Ovis aries: one gene and its partners. The protein of the gene in region 3 purifies or fractionates together with the protein of the main gene of each other region. This does not show direct contact. Links are inferred from orthologs where the notes say so. Each region holds a gene or a part of one and is shown on either strand. Other genes may lie near its edges. The genes, in order: EXOC7, EXOC6B and EXOC3.

Region 1 (3,749 bases), on a different chromosome or scaffold from region 3:
ACCAGCATATGCTTCACTGTCTGTCTTCCTGTATCTGGATGCCTCAACAAAGCTGTGCAGCCACTTACCACCCCAGGGTGAGACCAGAGGCAGGGTGAGCCTCTGCAATGGAGGAGGGAGTAATACTAGGTTTTGCAGGAGCTGTGTCTGTGGTGAATCTAGAACATTCATCCCTGCAGGAACCCTGACCCAGGGCCACCTCCCCACCCCTGGCTGGCCCCTAATTAGAGGAGACTCTGGGCAAAGGAGCTGAGATATTTTGGCCTCTTGCAGGAGGGTCCCTACCAGCCCTCCAGGCCTTTCTGATGTCCTCAGCGGCCCTATGAGAAACGCTCCCCTTGTGTCTGAGCACCAGCAGATAGGCCTCAGCGTCTCCATCACTGAGAACACCACCTGGGTTCTAACCCCTCGGACAGGTCTGGACTTTTTCAGCCTTCCCCTTGCACTGTTTCCAGACCTGGGCAAATACACCGCTGAAGCCACTCGCTACCCGCGGCCTGGCCCTCACCCCCAGCAAATAAAACCATGTCTCTCTTTCCAAAACAGACACCTTAGTGTGGCGCTTGGAGCTTCTCTCTGGTCCCATCCCAGTCCCCGGGATGAGTGCTCCCAGAACCCCTCCTACCCCAGGAATTTGGCCGAGCCCCTCACAAGTCGGGATTGTAGTTATGGATGCCTCTGGGGCCATGGGCGACCATTCTTTGCCCGGGCCAGGGCTTGCACACAGGGCGCATTCCGTGAGAGCTTTTAGGGCCGAAGGGGGACACGACTACATAGGTCCCTCGGTCATTAAATGAGCACACATTAGGCGCCTGCTGTGTGACAAGCTCTGTGCTGTGCTTTGCGGGGGAACACCTCATCTGTGCCTGGATCCAGACAAACGAATTTGTTATTAATCTTTGTGAAAAGAGTCAGCCTTCCCACGAAGACGGCAAGTGAGCTGTAACTGTTGTGCCAGCTGCGGGACAAAACACCCCTAGAGAACCTTCTCTGATGAGTGCGGCAACACGCATCAAGGTGAAACCCGGTGCACCTCCCCGCCACACCCAAGATGGCCACCTGCCGGGTTCCCCTGTCCCTGAGTTCCACGCAGGCGCACTTCCGCCTGCCACTCCCAACATGGCGGCAAACGGGCCCCCGGGAGGGGGCCACGGGCGGAAGTGGGTGTGACAGGGACGGGAGCCGAGAGGGCTCTCTGAAGCCAGACGCTGGGCTGTGGGAGCCGCTCGGCTGTGGGAGCCGCTCGCAGGGAGGGTCGAAGTCATGATTCCCCCGCAGGAGGCGTCCGCCCGGCGGCGGGAGATCGAGGACAAGCTGAAGCAGGTGGGGCTGGGGAGGCGGGGGAGGAGGTGAGGGAAGGGGCCGAGATCCGGGCCGGGCGTCCACTCAGGGAGGGGAGGTAGCAGGAGTGGAGGGGGCCGGGTACCAGGCAATAGGGTCCGGGCGAGGCTGTGGAGCCGGGATGCGGTGGTCTCTGGCTTCTGCTGATGTCCTCCCCTCCCCCTCGCAGGAGGAGGAGACGCTGTCCTTCATCCGAGACAGCCTGGAGAAGAGCGACCAGCTCACCAAGAACATGGTGAGTAACCCCTCGCTGGGAGGGCCTCCAGACGCTGCGACCCAGGGGTTTGGTACCTAAAGCCTGAGGCTTCTGGCCTGGGTGGTGATGGGTGGTAACGTCTGGGTTTCTCTAGCAACAGTGTTACACTTCTTACACCCTTGCCCGCCACTTCGCTGAGGATGCGGCAGCCTCCCCACATTTCTGCTTTCTGCCTAAGTTCTCCATTCTTCTTTCTCTCCTTCCGCAAACATTTAGTGAGACTGACTTAAGTGGGCTGGGTACTGGCCATGGGTCACCCTTAGTTTAAGTGCGGGTATCACGGGTGGGGTTACCACTTCTGAGATTACTGAGGGCAGGAGACTCAGCCGTCACTCTGGAGAGCTGGAGGGGTAAAATGAATCAGAAATCAGATAGATGCGGGATCTAGCCCTTGCCCCTCCACTTATGTGTGTGTGGCTCCTGACAGGTAACGCTGAGCCTCAGTTACCTCCTCTGCTAAAATAGACGATGCCAATCTCCATTGTAGCTGTGAAGGTCATAGAAGCTAATGCATGGAAATGCCTCTTGCACAGTATCTGGTATACAATAGGTACTCAATAAACATGAACTTCCTTTCTTATTCTGAAAAGAGCCTGGAAAACCCAAACTGAGTAGTAGATAGAAAGGTGGGTATGTATTCAGTAACACAGTCATCAGGTGCTAGTCCTTACTTAATGAGATTTAGCCTTAGAGAGAGGGGGTTTGAAGGTACCAGGAATGCTGGTATAGAGTACCTTGAGGCTACTCTATATGAAAGTAGTTCCTGTTCAGTCTAGGAAAGCATCAGGGAGAACATAAGTTGAGATCTGGCTTTAAAGGGTGGAAGGGAAGCCATCCTGAGGTGATTTTCTGAGAAGTTAATGTAATGGTTGCCTCGCCTTCAAATCAAACTTCAGCCAATTTATTTGGGCCACCTCCGATCTGCCAGGCATGTGGTAGATCCTGGGGATACAGTGGGGAATAAGTATACCCTGTCCCTCTCCTCTTGGAGCCTACTGTCTAGAAAACCAGAGAAAAGGCAGCAAATGCGAAGACCTGGCAAGGGGCAGAAGCAGTGCTGGGACAACCCTGAGGCCTGAGAGCACGGGGCTTCCCCCTGTAGGTGTCTATCCTGTCATCCTTTGAAAGTCGCCTTATGAAGCTGGAGAACTCCATCATCCCCGTGCACAAGCAGACGGAGAACCTGCAGCGGCTGCAGGAGAATGTCGAGAAGACCCTGTCCTGTCTGGACCATGTCATCAGCTACTACCACGTGGCCAGTGACACTGAGAAGATCATCAGAGAGGGGTGAGCTCGGACCAGAGGGTCACATTCCTAACGCCTCTTGGACCAGTAGGCTTTGGAAGCGGGGTAGAATATATATGAGCCTAGAGTCCCCTGTGTTAATTCTGTTCACCATTTCCAAATACCATTCCCTTAGTCCTTCCTATTCATCTTCCATCTGCCCGGGCTAATATGGTTCTTCTCCTTTCCAGGCCTACAGGTAGGCTAGAGGAGTATCTGGGAAGCATGGCCAAGATTCAGAAGGCTGTGGAATATTTCCAGGACAATAGCCCAGACAGCCCAGAGCTCAACAAAGTGGTAAGGGGCCAGCAGAGTGATGTGAGAGGTTGGGAGACACCAATCCCTGTCCGGGTCTCATGAGACACTGAACCAGCTAAAAGATAATATAGTCGAATGAAGAGAAGTATATAGTACCATGCACATACTACAGACATTGAAATGTCTGTTTCAGAAATTACAGGTCTACATTTTGATTGCATTTTAATAATTTAGCTAAATTATAAGTTGTTGTTTAGTTGCTGAGTTGTGTCTGACTCTTTTGTGACCCCATGGACTGTAGTCTGCCAGGCTCCTCCGTCCATGGGATTTCCCAAGCAAGAATACTGGAGTGGGTTGCCATTTCCTTCTCCAGGGGATCTTCTCAACCCAGAGATCTCCTGCATCGGCAGGCAGGTTCTTTACCACTGAGCCAGCAGAGAACACACATTACAAGTTACCTATGAAATACAGATTTAACATTTGATTTTTATAAATGCATGGGTATTTTTTATTGTACTGAAAAATAAATAATATAAAAATTACCATTTCTGACCATCTTTAAGGGAACAGTTCAGTGACATTCACATTGTGTAACCATTGCCACCTGGCT
Region 2 (3,649 bases), on a different chromosome or scaffold from region 3:
TAGCATTTCCTGGTCATCACCTTGTCTATTATGTTCTCATAATTTGTTCTCATCCCCCCTTTTTTTTTTCTCATAGCAAATTGATTAAATGACTCACTACATTAGTTCTTAAACTATTTTCTTACCTACTATTTTGGATAATGATTATTGATATGAACCACATATTATATTCAATAGAATAACATTAGAAGTGGGTAAGATTGGTAGCATTCTCATTTTCTGACCCTACTCTTAAAAGTTGCCAAGAGTTACAGAAGGAGTTATAGGGAAAACTTCATTGACAGTTATATCTAATATATATTAATTCTAATGTTCATCTTTTTATTTTTTTCTGACTGGCTCAAATGTTTTGGTATATATATTTTAATTATTGAGGATAATCACTAGATATTAGGTGGGAATGGAAGATTCTTATATCGTGGTTTTATTTAAATTGTTGTCCAAAGTACAAAATTATCTTTCAGTGCCTAATCTCTCTCATGTTGTTTAAAAAAATCACCTTAAAAAATGAAGCTTTTTTTCTTATTTTGTTTCAGGTATATGGTTTTCCTGTAAATCAGCTTTTTGACATGTTATTAGAAATCAGAGACCAGTATAGTGAAACTTTGCTAAAGAAGTGGTCAGGTATTTTCAGGTGAGAAATTATCTGCAGTTGAGTGTGTGTGGGCATGCATGTTTGTACACTCGTCTTTATAAATACGGGTTTTCGGGTATAATAAGCAACAAGTGTATGTGGCTTATTTTTTTCTAGGTCTGATTCCAATTATGATTGGGAATTCAATTAAGTAGTAATGGTATCCCAAATAAAGTTCCCAAGACATTCAAACTCTGGATATTAGTACATACTGTGCGAGGAGTCCCAAAAATCCCCAGATTTGTTTCATTGAATAAATGGTAAATACCTTGGTTCATACCAACTAGATCACCTTGTGTCATCTTAATTTGATTTTTGATTTTCTCTTTGGGGATCATGCCTAATCTATGTCTCGCTTGTAGGATAGTGGATTTTGAACCCTTTTGAATAATTTAGCTTTTTTAGAACTTTTTTGAAGACTCACTCATGTTATTCCTCATCTTCTTTATTCTCCATATCCAAAGAAGAGACCTATTACAATCTAATATTTGAAGCACATTATTTAAATAGTTACTGCAACATGCATACAACGCTAAGAAAATTATTGTATTACACCTTCTCTTACAAATATTTCCTTGGACATGTTTTCCTCACACATAACTCATGTCAACTCACTTGTTTCTTCATTTAAAGTGATCTTTCTGCTTACTGCAGGACCACTTCTCTAGGTCAACTTACTTTGTTTTCAAGTTCTTATAGCTTTAAGGTATTACATTGTCCCATTAATCTTACTCTTCACATTTTATAAACATATAGCTGATAATTATGTAGTATAACTCATTAGTATATTAATATAAATATTTGTATTTATAAAAAATCCTGTTTGTTAATGATATAATTTTCTTTAGGGGAGATTGTCTTTGAAAATTAGTACCATGATATATCCAAGTGCATGTGATCTGAAACCTTCAGTAAATTTCTTTTTTGATTTTGGTAGTATGGTCTCTGCTCTGCAGAATTCCTAGCCTAGTTAAGGACACAGAACCTTTGGATGAAGAAAAAGTCATTCTTAATGAAGCAGTAGATGAAGTACATGAACATAGTTTGATAAAATAGAAAATCTAGCCTAGAATTAAAGAAAAGTCTTTATTTTTCTTTTTAAGAAAGCATATAAAACCTCTTTGCCTTTTCCAGAGCTCACATTTTTTGTTGTTGCTGCTGCTTCTCATTTGCCTTAAGGCTTCAACATGTTGCCTTGAAATTTTCTGTCTGAGCTGTAAATCTCAAGTACTATGAGGTCATCTTTATATTTGTGTTCCATTTGTTTTAGAATGCAATTTTCCTTTTGTGTTTTTTTTTAAGATGTCCTTACCTAAGACCAAATAGCTGTACTGTAAAAAGAATAGATTAGGGACTAAGAAATGTTTATTATGAAAGTTATTTGTGATCACTCTACTGATGAACCCACCTGTCTTTCCTTTTTTATTTTATCCCTCCCTCCTTTCCTTTCTTCTTTTATTTTCTTTATAGAAACATACTTGATTCTGACAACTACAGTCCTATACCAGTAACAAGTGAAGAGATGTATAAAAAGGTGATAGGACAGTTCCCATTCCAAGATACAGAGCTGGAAAAGGTAAGGAACACTAAAATAAACTTCTCTGATTTGGCATTCTCTTAAAGCTTTCTTTGTATCAGTCTCATTAAAGGCATAATTTCTAACTCAGTGAGTTAGGAATCTAAAACAGCTTCAAAGGATGATTTTTCAGCTTAGAGGAGCAGAAGTTCCTGTTTGGGGAATCAATCAGTAAATGGCTTTGGGGTACTGTCACCTCTGAAGCGTTTAGGAGATTTCTGGCAGGGTTTCCTTTTGACTTACACGTTGAAATATTTGCTTTTCTTATACTTTGAGGACATTGTATCCAACATATACAGTAAAATTTACCTTGCTATATAATTGTATTGGTTTTGACTGTGCTTTGTGGTGGATGTACTACCACAACAATGTTGCAGACAGTTTCATGATTCCTCCAAATTCCCTCATGCTATACCTTCTTAATCAATTACTCCTCAACCCCTAGCTTTTGGCAACCAACTATCATTGCTATCCATCTACTTTTACCTTTTCTGAAAGGCCTTATAAATGGAGTTATATAGTGTGTAACCATTTGAGATTGGCTTCTTTCACTGAAGATGATGCTTTTGAGACTCATCTAAGTTGCACATATCAATAACTCATTCCTTTTTATTGCTGAGTATGTGTCAGAATTTTTTTATTGGGTTTTACAGGATGTTAGAATCATTTACTTAATTTAATCGTATTCTTTTTAGTATTAGAAAACTGTCACAAATATGTTTTTAAAATGTAGAGTTGTTAAGAAGGCAGTTCCTAGTGTGTAAGAAAATCTCTTTCGCATTTTAATTAGTTAGTAGGTATTTTCAATGTATGGTCATTTGTAACTTTCATTAATTCTTGCTTTTACAGCAACCATTCCCAAAAAAGTTTCCATTTTCTGAATTTGTGCCAAAAGTTTACAACCAAATTAAAGAATTTATCTACGCCTGTCTGAAGTTTTCAGAAGATCTTCATCTAAGGTATAGTATGAAATAATGGAGGTGCAGTAGATACTGAGATATACATAAATATTCTGGAATACTTTTGATGTTCCCTTCAGTTCCAAGTTTGAAAGTTGTAATATAAGCCTCGTATGGTATGCCACTGCCCTATTTATATGGTCAGGTAAAAAAAAGGGAAGTTGGAAACTCTTGAATAATTTCTTTTTATATTACTTACTTTATTCTCTACTGTTTCCTTTATAGATTTGCATTTCTAGTGAGAGTTAAACTAGAAAAGAGTAGTATAATATTCTTGTTTTTACATTATATTGATGAAATGTTAAGGCCAGTAGAGGAGTGGCATGTGAAATTCTTGCTGTGATCTTGCTATCCAATGGAATCTCAAGAGCTTTCTCCAGCATCACAGTTTGAAAGCATCAATTCTTTGGTACTAAGCGGTCTTTATGATCCAGTTCTCACATCTGTACATGATATTGGAAAAACCATAGCTTTGAGTAT
Region 3 (3,749 bases):
TAACCTGACCATCCCTCGCAAGGAACGTATATAAGCCACCTCTAACGCGGTCCGGGCGCGGACTTCCTCGACCTGACTCGCTCGGGTCCGGGAATCCCGCCCGGGAGCGCTTCGCCATTAAAAAGGCCGTTAGACACTGTTTTGGTGTCCTGGTCGGTTTTTTTTTTAACCTAACACAAACCTCCTCCAAACTTAACCGTCCTGTTTCTTCACGTTTCTCGTATCTTTCTTACGGTAGCTAGCTGCTTTAAACTTGTGCTCTGATGCTTGGTCTATGTGAGCATGTCTCCACTCCTCCTTCTGTGTCCTTTGCTTTGCTTTTCCTAGTATCACTATGGCATTGCTTGCACTTTCTCCTCATATTTAACAAAGTGTAAGCTACAGTGTAACAAGATCTCCGCTCTCTCAGGACGCTTCAGAGATGTACCTCGCTCCCTTCTTTAGCCCGCCGGGCCAGAGCCTCTCAAGAACTGCTCCTGGTGTCTTCTGCTGAGGGCTTTCAGAGAGAGCTTTCCCACTGAGGAGGGCACCAAACCCAGGTAGGCACAGGCTCCCAGCTCTGTCTTCTTGAGATCCTCTCCTGACCCGGGCACCCCAGCACCTGGGAGACATTGCTTTTTTGGGTTCTGTTGTTTGTTTTCCCTGGTCCACTCGTGCGCTGAAGATGTTTCAAAATGCCTGTACAGTCAGAATTTCAAACACAGTTAGAATCTGTTTACATTCTTCGTTTCTCTAGTGTTCGGTCATTCAGCCGGTCCAACTCTTTGCGGAGAGCCCATGGGGATTCTCCAGGCAGGAATACTGGAGTGGGTTGCCATTTCTTTCTCCAGGGGATCTTCCTGACCCAGCATGGTGCTATATTTTCACAAATTATTAGGGACAGATGAAATCACAGAGGGGTCAGCCCTCAGAGCCAGTCAGGCGCTGAAGTCCTGGCCCTTGCTGAGTGTTCTGCTGTCAGCTGACTGTAGGTCCTGGTTGGCATGGCCGCAGGTAGGGGGCTCCACACCTCCTCCTCCCTGCCCCTGCCTCTGCGACCCAGGCGTTTGCACGCAGATGCTGACGCGGGCGTGTGTGGTGTCTATGGTGCATGTGTGGGTATGGACGTCTGTGTGTGTGCGGTGTGTGCATGTGGTGCGGTGTCTGCATTTGTGTGTGGAGTGTGTGGCATGTCGGTATGTGATATGTGTCTGGGGTGTGTTTATGTGTCTGTCTATGTGTGTGTTTACGTGTGTGTGTGGAGGGGGGGGTGCGTGCGCGCCGCAGCCCCGCTCTAGGTGCCGTGGCCCCATCTGCAGCCGGCCTTCACGGTCACTGAGCCCGCGCGGCCCGGGCCCCGCGTCCGAGCCGCCAGGCCCCGCCCTCCCAGTCTCGAGGCCGGAAGCGGAAGTGCCCGCCGAGCGCTCACTTCCGGGCGGCGGAGGCGGCGGGGGCGACCCGCGAGGTGAGGCTTCGCCGAGCTGTGGCAGCTGCGCGGCGGTGGCGGTCCCCACCCGCCGTCCCTTTCCCCGGCTCCGGCGGGTGCGGGCGCGGCCAGGCGGCGGTGCGGGCGGCCGGGGGGGGGGGTCCCGGGGGCGTCTGAGTCCCGTCGAGAGGCTCGCGTCCTTGACGGGGCCGACTCCGCGTCAGGCCCGGAGGAGGGAGGCGTTGCGGACCTGAGCGCGCGGGCGGCGGCCGGGAGACCCGCGGCCGCCCCGGGCGCCCCGGCCCCGGCGCAGCCCAGGGCCCGGAAATGGGGCGAGGAGACACGGCGCCCCAGCCCAGGTCCGTGAGGGCGCCAGACGCACTCGGGTCCCGCCCCTCAGGGTCTGCGGGGACCTGAGTGTTGCTCCGACAGCGTTTGCGGAGGGAATGGGGAGCGTCCTGGAGATTGGTGCACTGAAAACATGCGTGGAAACGGGCGGCTAACGGCAGATGTCCGCTCTCTCCTTTGCCGGACGCTCCCGAGCTCCCCAGCTCGGATGTTGGTGGAGCCGGCACGAAGGCAGCAGTGCGTTGTCCTGAGGAGAGCGTCGTTTGCCCGCTCACCTGTTTACTAAGGCTGTTAAATAGTAAGATGTGGGATTTGAGACTCTACAGGTAGTGATTTTTGAGGGGAATCGTACGGTGGGTGCTGAAACTTTCGCGGGGATGGTGAGGTGTGTACTGGCCCTGTGCCTCCGCATCTTCCCCGGGGCTTCCTGGCACAGCCGCCCCTCCAGGGAGTTCAGAGCCGGTGTGAAGGCTCTGGAAATGGGAAAGGGGACCTGTCTGGGGGAGAGAAGTGCCCTGGAGACTGCCGTCTGATGTGAGTAATCTGGCCTCCTCCATGTGCTAATATCTTGTGCCTGTAATTGCCCCTGCTCCACTGTAAGGTAAGATTGAATTCTGAAAGTGTATTTCTTATCGAGGAGCTCATAACCCTAGTTCTGGTTTCAGGGTTGCTGGGTTAATGGTCTCAGATGCTCTTCTTATAGCTCTGCTGTGGACAGCTGACTGTTGGTGGAGGGAGTAAGTTTTGTCACTTAACATTTCTACCTTTCTAACACATCCCCCCTCCCTGTTCCCCATCTAGCTGTGGACAGAGGATGCCTCTAATATGACAGGTGCAGACATCCTCCCTGCTTTGTAACCATGAAGGAGACTGACCGGGAGGCTGTCGCAACAGCGGTCCAGAGGGTTGCTGGAATGCTGCAGCGCCCTGACCAGCTGGACAAAGTGGAGCAGTATCGCAGAAGAGAGGCCCGGAAGAAGGCCTCTGTGGAGGCCAGATTAAAGGTACGAGGTCAGAGTGGCCACCAGCACCTGCTGTACTCTCCAGCGGGACAGGGCCTTTTATCTTGAGTTTCAAGTTCTTTAACGAAGTTGTAATTTTGCCAGATTGGACATTGTGAGGATGTGGAAGAAGGCAGACGTGAACATTGCCTTGATTTAGCACATTTTTTCCAATAATGTATTGCCAGTTAGTAGATTGACAAAGTAGGCAGGGGGGTGTTGAAAACACCAAAGAAACAACCCCTTTAAGCATCCAGAAGTGTCCATTTACCTTTTTAAAGAACACTAGCAGAATAACGGTTTTTGTTCTTTAGCAAATGCTCTTCCACCGAGTGTGTCCAGAGAGCATTTTGTTTGGGTCCTTCTAGCACACGCTATAGTATGCTGACTGTGTACCAGGTATTCTGTTGGCCTTCTGGGCAGGAAGGAAGAGAACACTACACATTTATTAGTGTGTGTGAAAATGAGACAAGAAAGAAGTCAATCTTTTATGATTTGGATTGGCTTTCAACATAATTCACATGGAGAAATTGGGTTTTATTAAAACAATGCATGCCTGGTATAGCTATAAAAACATTAAGACCATGGCCTGCTGACTGGCAGCACAACAGTCTTGAGGATTTAAGAGAGTGCATTTGAGGAAGGTTAATTCTCGCATGGACATGGAACAGCAGACTGATTCCAAACAGGAAAAGGAGTACGTCAAGGCTGTATAGTGTCACCCTGCTTATTTAACTTACATGCAGAGTACATCATGCAGAATGTCAGACTGGATGAAACACAAGCTGGAATCAAGATTGCCTGGAGAAATATCAATAACTTCAGATATGCAGATGACACCACCCTTATGGCAGAAAGTGAAGAACTAAAGAGCTTCTTGATGAAAGTGAAAAAGGAGAGTGACAAAGTTGGCTTAAAGCTCAACATTCAGAAAACTAAGATCATGGCATCCAGTCCCATCACTTCATGGCAAATAGATGGGGAAACAGTGGCTG

Evidence for each region.
Region 1: the proteins of EXOC3 (region 3) and EXOC7 purify together in Homo sapiens (affinity purification with mass spectrometry; 5 studies listed by BioGRID and IntAct, counting the BioPlex papers as one, with this or other methods). This does not show direct contact. The link is inferred for Ovis aries from reciprocal best matches to the Homo sapiens genes EXOC3 and EXOC7.
Region 2: the proteins of EXOC3 (region 3) and EXOC6B purify together in Homo sapiens (affinity purification with mass spectrometry; 3 studies listed by BioGRID and IntAct, counting the BioPlex papers as one, with this or other methods). This does not show direct contact. The link is inferred for Ovis aries from reciprocal best matches to the Homo sapiens genes EXOC3 and EXOC6B.

The regions. Positions count from the first base shown.
Region 1 is NC_056064.1:54,905,219-54,908,967, forward strand, and holds the start of EXOC7 (exocyst complex component 7), read left to right. Parts: upstream 1-1,197; 5' UTR 1,198-1,263; coding exon 1,264-1,323; intron 1,324-1,510; coding exon 1,511-1,576; intron 1,577-2,699; coding exon 2,700-2,884; intron 2,885-3,072; coding exon 3,073-3,178; intron 3,179-3,749. UniProt on the Homo sapiens protein: Component of the exocyst complex involved in the docking of exocytic vesicles with fusion sites on the plasma membrane.
Region 2 is NC_056056.1:94,435,191-94,438,839, reverse strand, and holds part of EXOC6B (exocyst complex component 6B), read left to right. Parts: intron 1-536; coding exon 537-634; intron 635-2,104; coding exon 2,105-2,210; intron 2,211-3,059; coding exon 3,060-3,169; intron 3,170-3,649. UniProt on the Homo sapiens protein: Component of the exocyst complex involved in the docking of exocytic vesicles with fusion sites on the plasma membrane.
Region 3 is NC_056069.1:71,721,458-71,725,206, reverse strand, and holds the start of EXOC3 (exocyst complex component 3), read left to right. Parts: upstream 1-1,398; 5' UTR 1,399-1,521; intron 1,522-2,554; 5' UTR 2,555-2,613; coding exon 2,614-2,757; intron 2,758-3,749. UniProt on the Homo sapiens protein: Component of the exocyst complex involved in the docking of exocytic vesicles with fusion sites on the plasma membrane.